Neurospora crassa OR74A: one gene and its partners. The protein of the gene in region 2 interacts with the protein of the main gene of each other region in a pairwise test. Links are inferred from orthologs where the notes say so. Each region holds a gene or a part of one and is shown on either strand. Other genes may lie near its edges. The genes, in order: eat-2, NCU06347 and csb.

What was found.
Region 1: the proteins of NCU06347 (region 2) and eat-2 interact in a protein complementation assay, tested with the Saccharomyces cerevisiae proteins (2 studies listed by BioGRID, with this or other methods). The link is inferred for Neurospora crassa OR74A from reciprocal best matches to the Saccharomyces cerevisiae genes END3 and SLA2.
Region 3: the proteins of NCU06347 (region 2) and csb interact in a two-hybrid assay, tested with the Saccharomyces cerevisiae proteins (2 studies listed by BioGRID). The link is inferred for Neurospora crassa OR74A from reciprocal best matches to the Saccharomyces cerevisiae genes END3 and RAD26.

What each region holds. Positions count from the first base shown.
Region 1 is NC_026501.1:1,867,627-1,870,474, forward strand, and holds the end of eat-2 (cytoskeleton assembly control protein Sla2), read right to left. Parts: coding exon 1,666-2,848; intron 1,564-1,665; coding exon 1,471-1,563; 3' UTR 926-1,470; downstream 1-925. UniProt on the Saccharomyces cerevisiae protein: Required for cellular morphogenesis and polarization of the cortical cytoskeleton. It might act in concert with proteins such as CDC42 and CDC43 to limit the region of cortical patch formation to the cortex of the bud.
Region 2 is NC_026504.1:2,822,687-2,827,503, reverse strand, and holds NCU06347 (actin cytoskeleton-regulatory complex protein end-3), read right to left. Parts: upstream 2,741-4,817; 5' UTR 2,330-2,740; coding exon 2,093-2,329; intron 1,979-2,092; coding exon 1,744-1,978; intron 1,671-1,743; coding exon 952-1,670; 3' UTR 739-951; downstream 1-738. Other genes in the region: NCU06348 (myo-inositol-1-monophosphatase), read right to left, coding at 3,601-4,400, 4,509-4,626. UniProt on the Saccharomyces cerevisiae protein: Component of the PAN1 actin cytoskeleton-regulatory complex required for the internalization of endosomes during actin-coupled endocytosis. The complex links the site of endocytosis to the cell membrane-associated actin cytoskeleton.
Region 3 is NC_026503.1:1,029,560-1,034,585, reverse strand, and holds the start of csb (DNA repair protein Rhp26/Rad26), read right to left. Parts: upstream 3,128-5,026; 5' UTR 2,651-3,127; coding exon 1,372-2,650; intron 1,314-1,371; coding exon 1-1,313. Other genes in the region: pan-3 (pantotheic acid-3 protein), read left to right, coding at 3,573-4,901. UniProt on the Saccharomyces cerevisiae protein: May be involved in the preferential repair of active genes.

The DNA of each region.
Region 1 (2,848 bases), on a different chromosome or scaffold from region 2:
ACGAGCGAAGCTCACTTCTGCAGTTGCGTAAAGGTAAGCAGGCGCTGGTGCTCGGCAACATCGGTACATACCTAGAGCGTAGAACAGCGCGACATACCAAATACAAACTATCTAAGCTGAGGCTTGATTCGCTTTCATTCGCATATTGACCAATGTAGGTATTGAAGTCTACGTAAGAATCCCAAACCCAAGGACGCTGTAGGCTATACTATATCTCGACCAAGACCCGTAAACGACCTGAAGAGGCTCCCCCCCCAAAAAGTATACCCTTGAATATTTTGCTGCAGGTCCCAACCTATAAACGCCATGGAAGAATGCAATTGCTTGCCCAACGCAGCCCCACGCTGCCCTGCTCTCCCATACATCTCTTCTTATTGTACAGCTCATGGACATCACAACCATCTGCCCGCAGCAAACACCAGCGGATCCAATACTTGGCACTGGTACATCCAATTACCCGTCATCCAAGCTATTGGTTGGTACGACAACGACGACTCCGCAGGAGCACTTTAATAGCATAACAACGTGAACGCCAACCGACCGGAGAGGGAAGCAGGAGAGTGTGATGGTTCGACTTTAGCTTGGCCTGCCAGAATGGGAAGAACTAGGAAATGCAAGTCAAGAGGGAGACAGAGACCAGACTTTCAAGCTGACGTGGGGAACGAAAAGAAAAAGAGAAAACAGCATAATGGACCAGGCGATAGGAAGGAAACGGAACTTGAACTCCCTCCACCAGAGATTTTCTCGTTCTGAATCTTGCTGCACGAACGAAAGCAGCCACCGATGACGAGACAACGAACGGGCTGCGACAAAAAAGCGAAGAGAGGGAGTGAAATGGGCCGTATAAGCAGACGTAGGGAAATTGGACAGCCGAGGGCTGAAGGACTGACGTGACAGGGGAAGGGGAAGAGGAGGCGGAAAAGGGGTGATATTCAGCAGCACAAAGCACGAAATTTGGTCGCCTACTCACTCTTGACGTATCTGGTAAACTTTCTGGCAGACCGACCGATCGAGCGAGCAGCGAGCAGCGAACGCGAAAATCGAAACCACAAAAAAAGGATGTACATCGCCATAAAAGAAACACGACGGATGCCAGCAGTATGACAGCGGGAGTGGCGGTTTGCCTGTGTTACCAAACACCCGCGCGAAGAGCGAACGGAACATATCCGAGGCCGAAGTTACGACGGCCAATTGACGACTTCAGTGGATGAAAAAGAACAAGGTGGATGAAACTGAGTTTAACACTAACACCTGATGACTCCCAAAGGAATTCGAGCTAGGTACAGAGGGGGTAGTTGAAATATAAAACATCTGATGAAGATTTTGGAAGACGCTGCGGGACGAAAACAGAATGAGGGAGGGGATCTGGTCGGATGCATGTGCCCACGCTGCGCATTGAAGCGTAAAGCCAGCGAGATGAATGAAGCCACCGAGTATACTACCTCAACAACCCCATGTGTTGCGGGACAATCAGTCCTCATCCTGTTGGTACGAAATCTTGCGCATCTCGCCAAGTCTGTGGCGAGCAGCATTCAATGCGTTTTCGAGTTGAAGGATTTCGACCTGTGATGGGGAGAGAATGAATTGGTCAGCAATGAACCATAATAGGCAAGACCAAGGGTACCGGAAATGAAAGAGGAAGGAAATCTCGAAGGAATCACGTACCTGTTGCTCCATCTCGCGCACCTTGAACTCGTGCGACCCAAGCTTGCTGTAGTCCACTTGCTCATCCTCGGCACTGCGGTCCTTGATCATGCTCTGGACTTGTCTGACGAGCGCACGGCAGGCGGCACCGACAGCCTTGCTGGCCTCCTCCAGGCTCTCCTGGTTCTTGCTCATGAAGCCGGCCTTCACACGGCTGGCAGCCACGAGCTGGGCGGTGGAGGCCGCAACATTATTAGATGCAACGATGAGCTGCTCAGGGCTGTTGCGGTTGGAAAGAACACCGTCAGCAGTCTCGATGAGAGTGCTGGTAGAGTTGGCAACAGCCTTGGCGGCGGAAATAAGACCCTCGGTCCATCTGTTGTTCTTCTTGTAAAAGGCGGTGCGCGAAGACGAGCCACGACCAGCTTGCACAATCTCCTGCTGTGTAGCGGTGGCAGCCTTGATGAGCTGCGCGATAGCGGTGGTAATGGCCATGGCGGCATCGAGGATTGAGTCGTGGACCTTGAGTTCGTAGGTAGTATATCCATCGCGAGGTTTGTTCTTGAGCTTCTGCAAACGGGCAACGGCAGCAGCAATGGCATCGGCTGCCCTGCTGAGTTCTTGATCGACGATGTCGCCAAGGTCACCCTTGTTAGCGAGCTGGCCAAAGCCAGGAGCGAAGGTCTCGACAAGCTTGTTCAGCTTTTGCAGGTTGATCTGGACATCGTTATTGCTGTTGATGACAACGTCGGTCTTCTGAAGTGGATCCATGCCCTCAAGGCGGAAGCTCAACAGACCACGGAAGAACTTGACTGTCGAATGGGCAGATGAACGAGCACCGTTGATCAAAGAGTCTCCCTTCTTCTCGTCAGTAGCGAGGCGAACGAGACCCTTGGTGTTACTGCACACATCAGCGATGGCGCCGGCGAAAACGTTGGCGTTCTTGATCAGCTCCGCCGGACTGCTGCTGGGACCATCGGCGATGAAGACGTTGAAAGCGGTAGCGAACTCCGTGGCACTCGCAGACGCCTTCTCAATCTGCGAGAGGACATAGGAAGGCGAGGCGTTCTGGTTTCCGGCTTGCATGTCAGAATCGAGCTCATACATGGCATCATCAACACGCTGAACGCTAGCTTGAAGCACAGAGTCGATAATCTCGTTGACCTTCTCCAGCTGGGAGAGGATCAAAGCGTCCAGCTGGCCG
Region 2 (4,817 bases):
GTACCTTCACCTTGTACCTAGACTACAGCACGACTTGTTGAGGATCCAAGGATGGGATGAATTGCAACTCTGGAACCGGATTGGCGGGGTAGGTACCTTCCAGGCTCCAAAGTGCGGAGTTAGGTAAACACTCGCTGTGGAATGTCCAACAGCGAATGGTGGAGAGGGGTCTTTTTCCCCTGGAAGCTTTTCCATGTGACCATGAGCGTCATTGCCCCACTAGTGTACTCATCGATCCTACGATAGCATCCACAACACCCTCTTCAACTCATTTTCAACCTGACAGCCTCACTTTACGCTTATTTATCGTGGACTCAGCTGCTCAAACCAGTAATTACATGATCCAGATGGGCCCATGTGAAGATGCAATTCATTCGTACCTTTTGAGATGTTCCAACCACAGCAACTCCGAAGCAACATATTGCTTGTGCCTGCATATTTGGCAGGACATGTATATCAAGGTACCAGTGGAATAAGACTGGAAATGGCATAAACTAGGATTTCCGATGCCTCTTCACGCTGATGAAATCGAAAAGATATCTATACGGTCAAACTATTCTACTCCTTTCACATTTCCCGACAGCCTCTAGCGGCAACAAGCAGAGCCACCATGTTGTTGCTTAGACAAGCGCTGAGTGCAAAGGCGCGTGGATTGTGATGCTTAAATTCCCCTGAAAAGCACAGTCAACATGATACCTTTCATTGTAATATACCATAGCACCTGGGAAAATTACACAGTCAAGATATGCGCCATCAGGCAGCTTGTTGTTACTCCACTGAATGCCATTAAGAGATTATGCTGTCTTAGAAAGATGAAACGTAACCGATGAACCCAAATCATTCCTGTCCTGGCAAACTGCCCATGGTCTTCGCCTCGAGGAACCCAGCAAAATATCACAGCCCGCTCTCTCTACCTCTTCAACCCATCTCCCTGTACCGACCCTCAACAGCTTACCTCCCAACCTTCTCCTCCTCAATCTCCCTCTTCAACTGCTCCAACACGTCCTGCCTGCTCCTCAAATGCGCCTCCAGCCCTTCCACCTGCTCCTTAACCGTCGCCAAATCATCCGCCACGCTCTTCAGGCTCCCACCAGCCGCCGCCTTCCCCTTACCCTCCTCCAAGTCCCTCAATTCCTTGCGCTTATAATCCAACAGCTGTTCCAGCTCCCTCTTGACCAGTGCCGGCTTTGTATCCCTTTTCCCGCCCCTACGACGGTTCGCCGCCTCCTCAACCTTGGCCATCTTCTCGTCCAGCTCCGCCAGCTGCTTCTTCAGCCTGACTTCCTCCCACTGATCGTCCGTCTGCTCGGACGAGAAGTCGGTGCCGGCCGTCTTGAACGAGGAACGGCCTAGGCGCGTCAGGTACTGATCGCCGAACTTGGCCTTGCGGCCGGTAGAGGTCTCATCGTCGGCCTTTTGGGCCCAGCGCGACTGCGACGGGTCGTTGACGTTGTATGTGATCTTGTTGCGCTCGAACGAGGCCCGCAGAGAAGCGGGAACGGTGCGCGGGATGCGGAAACCTTCGTGGCGGTAGTTGAGGATGTGCAGGAAGGCGAGGCAGGCATCTTTGTTGATGGTCGAGGAGGCCGACGGGTTGACCAGGTTCCAGGCCGAGCGGATGTCGGTGTCGGGAACGGAGAGGGAGTCGTAGAGGTCTTGGAGGGCGGCGACTGCGGGTAGGTAGGTAGATTAGTATGAGGTTAGGGACCGGAAGGGAAGGGAAAGGAAGGGATGTAAACATACAGGAAACCTCGCCGCGCATATCTCGGTTCTCTTGATAGATTTGCTCGTACTTGGACTTATCCGCCGGGCTCATGTACCAGTCAAACCCATCCTTCAAGCCGGGGGTATCGTCTTCATCTTCGACTTGCTCGAATTTCGGCGCCTTGCCGGTTAGCGCGCGGTTCGCTTGCACAAGGTGGGCTTTAGATTCGGGGACAAGCCAGTCTGGGAGAGTTGTCGGGACATCAGCGTATTCCTGTTACCGTCTCCCCCTGTTAGTTCTCTGATACTGCTGCTATTACTGCTCCCATGCTTGCTTGCTTGCTCGCTCGCTCGCTCGCAGCTTCAGGACAGAAGGAGGTAGACGAACCCCGTTCAAAAGGTCAAAGATGACCCTCATCGCAACACAAAATTCCTCGAAATCAAGGTTTCCGTCATTGTCCACATCGGCCAGATCCCAAACACGCTCCAGCTGGTCATCGCGCAGGCCACTGTTCTTCAGCACCGGCGCCGCCTGCTCGCCCGTCAGGAACTTGCCGCCATTTGTTCGCGCCGAGAAGATGTTCCAGTACGTCTCGATTTCCTGCGCTTCGATTTTTGGCGGCATTGTCGCGGTTGGCTTCGTAGTAATTATATGCGTGTAAGTGGGTTGGAAATTTGGCTAGCAGCTACCTCTCAAGCTGAAGGGCCGTGAATCGCAGCGGCAACCTAAGTCCGGGGGCAACGGCTTCCGGTTCCTGTCCGGTGGTAATGCGGTCGTCGACGGGAGCGCTGATTGATTGACCGACTTGGAAATGATGAGAGCAATTGACGATTCGATTAAGCGAGACGGTCACGGAAATAAGTGGAGATTGATACTCGGGTCAATGTTAGATAATGGAAATGAAGTTCGATTGGGTTTGAGGTTATCTCGAGGAAGTCAGGTTGGGTCGGTTGTTGCCAGTGTACAGCCCCGTAGCGCGGTGTGATTACAGTGGGAAGTTGTCAGGCGGATCCCAGGGCAGCTGCAACGTCCAAGCTCCGTCTCTTGTTGTCGGTGGATGATGCCTCGCAGTATGACCGGGACCGGGGGGATGGCCCGATGTGCGCACATGGCTGTTGTGCCTTGCCGTAGCTTCGAGGTACATGGGTCTCCACTTTCTCTCTGCCCCTGAGCCCCTTTTTCATCCAAACAATGGCATCTCGTTGAACTTGTGTCAACTGCATGATGTGATGTTCGTCGTCTTCACGTCCATGCTATAAACTCGAAACCACGCACTCGAGGATTCAAACTGTTTGTGTTTCTTCCCAGTGAGCGACCAGCGTGGTCCAGGTTATAGAGGTTACAGATAAAGCGCACATGCTCACTAGGTAAACCACAGCAACCAGCTCAGCTACCAGTTGGTGCCGATTCCTTCCAGCATTGAAAGGAATAGCAATACTCCAGGCCATGGCATCAAACATGTCTAACTTTATGAGTCATAAAGTCGCAGAAAACCTTTATTCACATCAACGGTCCGATGGTGTAGTTGGTTATCACGTCAGTCTAACACACTGAAGGTCCCCAGATCGAGCCTGGGTCGGATCAAATGCGAATTCTTTTTTTTCCTTCTTTATCAACCTTTCTGCAACGTACCTTGCCACATCTTCACACATCAAGGAACGAAATCACCTTCAGTTTTCTTCTTGATCGGCCATAGGACCGTGATGCAGCTGTCACTCACATTGCTGACGGGCGAACGACCCTTTCCCGGATATCGCACCCCAATCCAACCCTTCTAACGATAGCCTTAACTCATCTAGTCGACATCTTTCCAAATCCAATATGCCTGCTTATTACTTGACCCAATGCCTGATAACCTAAGCCCGTACCCAAAACCGCGTCATGTTCACCAACCATTAGTGCTTATATTCCATCCTGTCATCCCCAACAACCCCCCAAAACTCCTCCACAATCTCCTTCTGTCCGCTCTCCGCTCCCCTGACGGCCAAATACAACCTTGAATCCAACTCCGGGTTCCAATCCCCCGGGTTTGCACTAACCATAATTCCACCCGCCTCCTCGAGAATACACCACCCCGCCGTCACATCCCACGCATAACACCCGCCCTCCCAGTACATATCGACCTGACCAGCCGCCACTGCGCAGATGTTCAAGGCCGCGCTGCCCAAGCTGCGCAAGCTGTGCACCATACACCCGCCATTCTCCTTGGCAGCCGTCAACTGTCTAAACACCCTGGTCTTGATATCAAAGTTCTTTCCCTCGCGCTGACTACCCCACTCGACCGCCACCAGGGCCGTGGAAAGGTCTCCTAGCGGCTGGCCCCCATTCAGCGGCAACTTTTGCTTTGGCCCCTGTCCCTTTCCTGGTTCGAGAGAGGCGTTGCGCTGACAGTAGGCGCCCTGTCCCTTGGTGGCCGTCCAAAGCGTATCGAGAGCGGGGTTGTAGACAACGCCCACCGCGGGGCGGCGGTCGAGGGCGAAGCCGAGCGAGATGCAGAAGCCGTGCGGGTAGCCGTGGACGAAGTTGGTGGTGCCGTCAATGGGGTCGACGATGAAGGTCGGGGCGGAGGTGACTTTGGTTTCCCCGGCGACGTAGGTCTCTTCGCCGACGAATGAGAAGGAGGGGTATTTGGAGCGGAGAGTGGTGGAGACCATACGCTCTACGGCTTGGTCGGTTTCGGTGACAATGTCGGCGGCTGTTGAGCAAGGGAAAAGGGTTGTTAGTCAAGGTAGTTGAGGTTGCTTGCCGAGGATGAGTAGGTGACTGCTGGGGAAGAAGTCGGAGGACAAGGAAAGGCACACACAGTTCATCTTCGAACCCTTGTCAATGTTGTTGGGGTTGGCGGCGAGGATCATGCGGCCGGCCTCGAAGGCGACCTCCACGAGAGTGTCATGGATCTCTTGAAGGTTGATGTCGGGCATGGTGATGGTGGTTGCCGTTGTTATTAGATATTCGAAATATAGTATAGCAGTGAAGGACAATACTAAATGACAACGGCGTCGTATGAAGGAGCTTATATATAGATGAACAGCTTTGTTTTTATAGTTGACCAAGTGTCAATGGAATTGGTATATTAGAAGGAGAACCTTGTTGGTTATAAGCTCTCAGAACT
Region 3 (5,026 bases), on a different chromosome or scaffold from region 2:
TTTTTCTTCGATGGTTCCAGCTGTCATAAGCCGGTAGATAGTGACTTCCTTCTTTTGTCCCAACCGCCATGCACGTTCTCTGGCCTGGACATCGGTTGATGGGTTCCAGTCTGGGTCAAAGATGATGACCCGGTTAGCTCCCGTCAGGTTGGTGCCAAGTCCGCCCACTTTGGTGGTTAAAAGGAAGAGATGTAAGTCCGGGTCATTGTTGAACTGGTCGACAAGCGTCTGCCGATCTTTGACGGGCGTCTTGCCATCCATACGTAGGTAGTTGATGCCATCCTGGCGCCTCACAAATGCCTCGATGATGTCCAGCATTTGAGTACCCTGGCAGAACAGCAGCGTTTTATGGCCTAGACGTTTCCACATGGGAAGTAATGACTTCACCACTGCCATTTTCCCCGACTTGCTGGTACTGCCCCACTTGTAAGAGGGATCATCTTTGAGCCGCGGATCAAGCAAATCGGGATGATTACATATTTTACGCAAGATATCAATACCGTAGAGGGACTGGCGCGTCCTGTTGAGAATAGCAGTCATGTCATCCGACTTGAGGAATAGCTCGTACGCCTCGCGCTGGGGCTTGGACAGCTTACAAAATAGGACCTGTTCGCTTTTCTTGGGTAAATCGGCAGCCACGTCTACTTTGAGCCGCTGAAGTAGGTAGGGGCTGATGGTCTCTTTCAACGTCTCTGCACATTTCTGAGCAGTCATGATCTGAAGGTTGGTTGCGTTGGCATAACCGCCAAGTTTGATCGGGATCTCGAACTGATTTCGAAAGGCAACCAAGGTGCCGAGTCGCATGGGGTAGATGAAATCAAAGAGAGACCATAGCTCTGTCAAGTTGTTCTGCATTGGCGTGCCGGAAAGAATCACACGGTTGGGCGTCCGAAGTTCCTTGCAGTAAATGGTGATTGCTGTGTTTGGATTTCGGATTTTATGTCCTTCGTCCAGAACAGCATAGCCCCAGTCGACCGGGATCAATATATCGCCGTACGTTTGCAAACCGGCATAAGTTGTCACCAGCACATGGCCATGCTTAACAACGCGATCGACGATCTTCTTTGCAGCCTGGCTGGACTTTTTAGGCTTTCTCTTGCCGTAGTCATCCTCTCTGTCATCAAGCGCTCCTTCGTTGCGGACATTGAGCATGCCACTGCCAGACGAGTGAAGGATGGATACTCGAAGTGGTGGCCACCAGCGGTGAAACTCGTTTACCCATTGACGCAAAACTGTTGCCGGGGCTACAACAATGACGGGTTTGTCGAGCTTTTGACTGTAGTGTAACGCAGCCACGAAAGAAATCAGTTGCACTACATCCCGTCAGCAACGTTCCGTGGATTCCCAGGGGGGACATCGGAGAGAACATACCAGTCTTTCCTAAACCCATCTCATCTCCAACTATACCTCCAACTTGCTGCGCGTACAGCTCAGCTAGCCACTGTACGCTGGTCTTCTGATAGTCGAAGAGAGCTGGGTAAATGTCACCTGGCAATTTCAGCCCGTTTTCGAACTGGTGGTCAGGCTGGTCAGGCGCTGGCTTGAACCATTCCTCTGTTCCATCATCATCCTTATCAATTGGCTGGCCGAGCCTCTGCTGACGAGCCCGTCGTGCATTGCTCCTACGCGTTACCCAGCCTTTCAGTCTTGCTTGATAGACTTTTTCGTTGCCATCATCGATCCCAGTCAGATCGACCTTGTCATCACCATCGGCTTCTCTGACTGCTTTCTTCCGCTTCTTGAGTGTAGTGCCCGCCATTTCATAATCATCGTAATCGTCGGATGCGTCGGCCTCAGGAGAAGCCGCTTCAGATCCAGACTCTCCCAGCACAAACTCATCGTCGGATTCGGGCGGCGGCTGGACCCTACGCCTCTTTCGGGGACGTAGAGAAAAATCGTCTGCGACAGCTACGGTAGCGACCTCATTTTCGTCGGCAAAGCCAGGGAGACGAAGATTCTGATGGGATCGAGGGCCGTCGTTTTCCTTTTCTTCCAACTCTTCAGCGACAGCCTCGTCTTCTGCATCGACAATGGCGTTGGCGAGATCACCCTCAACCTCGGCAGGTCTGGGTCCACCAAATTTAGCAAACGGCGTGATCTTGCCCGTTCGGATGAGATATTCTCGTTGGGTCTCGTTAGGGAGTATTTTGCCGGTGGCCGGGGCCAGTGTACCCGTCTCGCCCTGCTGGTTGCGCTGTTCGATGCGGGCACGGAAATCGGCAATGTCTTTGTCGCAAAGTTCGATTTCGGCATCAATTCGCGCTATCTCCTGTTGTATGCGTAATCGTGCGGTTGGATTGGTGATACCAGGCCGCAGTTTCTGTTGCTGTGTTTTCTTCTGGTTCTCGAGTCTCGTACGAGTGGCCTCAGCCTTTTCGATGCGTTTCTGATCTCGTTTGTCTTCGGCTTCGATCAAGGCACGGCTGGCTTGCAGGGTGATATCACGTTCCAAATCGTCTTGGTCTCGAACATTTTCAGTAAGTTTCTTGAGCGCAGCCTCTTCGTCGAGCTCGTCAGCATTTGGCGCACTTTGTGTATCAGCGGCCGAGTTTTTGTTGTCGAGTGTCATTGCTTCTGTGTGTTCGACATTGGGCGTCAACTCGGGCAAGGCCTCGGTTGTCTTCGATAATTGAGTTGTATCAGGGTCCATGATGGAAGAAAGAATGCAATGCCATTGACTAAAGCAAGCAAAATGGAGGAAGGAATGGCAAACAGGTATAGATAGCACTTGTGATCGTCGACTGTCTAGTCTAAGATCTCAGCGTTGGCTGGAAATCCTGGCTGGTCCCAAGTGACAAAGAAGCGAGGGACGATGGACAGTGTGGTCAAATACTGCAATGGACGGGATGAATAGGGTAGATGAGCTCTTTCTGGTGGAAGTAGTACAACTTCAGGCGGAATTCAACGAGTGGCATTAGAGAAGCGACGGATTGTAGCGGAGTCTTCCGAACTGGAGGCAAACGGAATGATGGATTGTTGCGATGAAAAGTCAGAAGCCGCAGTTTACGGATCGAAGCTGCAGTGCTGTTGCCTGTTTTCTGCTTTTTGCGCCCGCTTTTGCTCACTGCGGGTGATAGGCATTACTTGCGCAAGTGGCAGGCGCAACAATATTCAACCCTGGCCCCCGATGACGCACTGCAAGTTCAGGGTTCGCGGAAGCGTTGGAGATCCTCTGCTTTTGGCGACGTACTTGTACCGACACGTCGTCATGTGACCTGGGCAAAGTGATTACTAAGCATCCCGATATCGCGACTGCGCGCATTGCATCGATGTTCGACCAAGTCAACAACACATATCGCGGACTCAGGGGCTCGTAGTGCTTGCTCTGTTTCCACTCAGGCTCACGGTATGTAGGTTACAAAGGCGTAGCATATACTTTGTCATTTATCGCGAGCATCTCCTCCGCTTCGATTTCTCTTTTCCGGTTCCCTTATGCTATCACATGAGTTTAGCTGAATCCTTTTCATCATCTCTTCCTTCGGCTCACAACTTTGGTTCCATTTCTTCTCTACCACCACGAGAATCCCTAAAAGACCCATCTTCCTGGCTCTAATCAGGTGCTTTTAGCTGGTATGGCTCGATTCGTCACAAACATGTCGACGACAACACGCCTACTCGCACAATCAGTCCCTAAAAACGGTGTGACACTACCACCATGGCTTCACAACATCACTCAAAGTATTTCAGCTGCGCCCAAGCTCTATGCCTGGACTCCCCAAAACCTACCAAATAGCCGAAACAATGGACAATTCCAGTCGGCAACGCCAAAGGACCTTCAAAGGCGCATCTTTATTCTTGGCATTGGTAATCTCGGTAGGCTCTATGCCAACTCCCTGGGAAAACTGGGTGAAGAAGTCCCGGTGACACTCGTCCTTCACCGGAAAAGTTTGTTAGAGCACTGGGTTTCCGAGCCGGGTATTGAGCTGACACGACACGGCGTTACCGAAAAAATATTATCTTTCGACGTAGAGTGGTGGACAGAGGAAGCACCAGCACATGGGCCTGTGAGGGAGGTCTGTGACGGGCACAAGATCGCTAACCTTTTGGTCGCCACCAAGGCTCCAGACGCTCTGCCTCAGGTAGACAGACTGCGGCGCTATCTCGATGGGAACTCAACTGTCGGGTTTGTTCAGAATGGCATGAACAAGTTGTGGCCGCCTTTCGGCGCCATATATAGTGAGCATCGCTTCCCGCCTAGACAACACCCGAACTGGCTGGTCTGTGTGACGACCCACGGCGTGTTTTCTCTGGGTACCTTCAAGAGTGTTCATGCCGCTCCCGCTGATATCGCCATGGGCTTGGTGTTGCCCAACCCAAACACGGCACACGCAGCAGACTACCTTATGGAACAAATTGGGAGGGCGCCCGAGCTGGAGGCTCGTAAAGTGCCACGGAATGCACTCTGGGTTCTTCAACTGGAAAAGCTCATCATCAACTCACTTATCAACCCCTTGACAGCTGTCATCCGTTGCATGAACGGTCATCTTTTTGACCAGCCAGCACCTGAGCTGAAGAAGCTCATGGACATTTTGGTAGATGAGGCTAGTCAAATACTCCAGGCTTTGGCTCAACACCCGAGTAGCAAAGATATTCTCTCTGGTGCTGACTCGGCCCCGGATGCCGACTTGAGCAAGGAAGCTCTCGTAGAGCGTTTCTCGGCTGTGCGGCTTAACGCAATGCTGCAACGAGTTGGAGAAAAGGTGAAAAACAACAGGAGCTCCATGTGTCAGGATGTTATGGCTGGGAAACAAACCGAAGTTCGAGAGTTCAACGGCTGGTTGGTACAGATGGCGGAATATCTTGGCTTGGAAGCGCCCAACCATAAAAAACTCTGCGAGCTTGTGGAAGGCGGTGTTATCGGGGAAACAAGCCTCCTGGAGGCTTACTTTGGCAAGAAGTAGATGCCTTATATCAAGGAGAAGGTCGTCCTGTGCCGAATGTACCATGATGTCGATGAAGTGCCAAGCAACGACATCTGGCCTTTGTTGTCGAGTACAAACCACAATCGCCCATTGGAAGGCTCTCG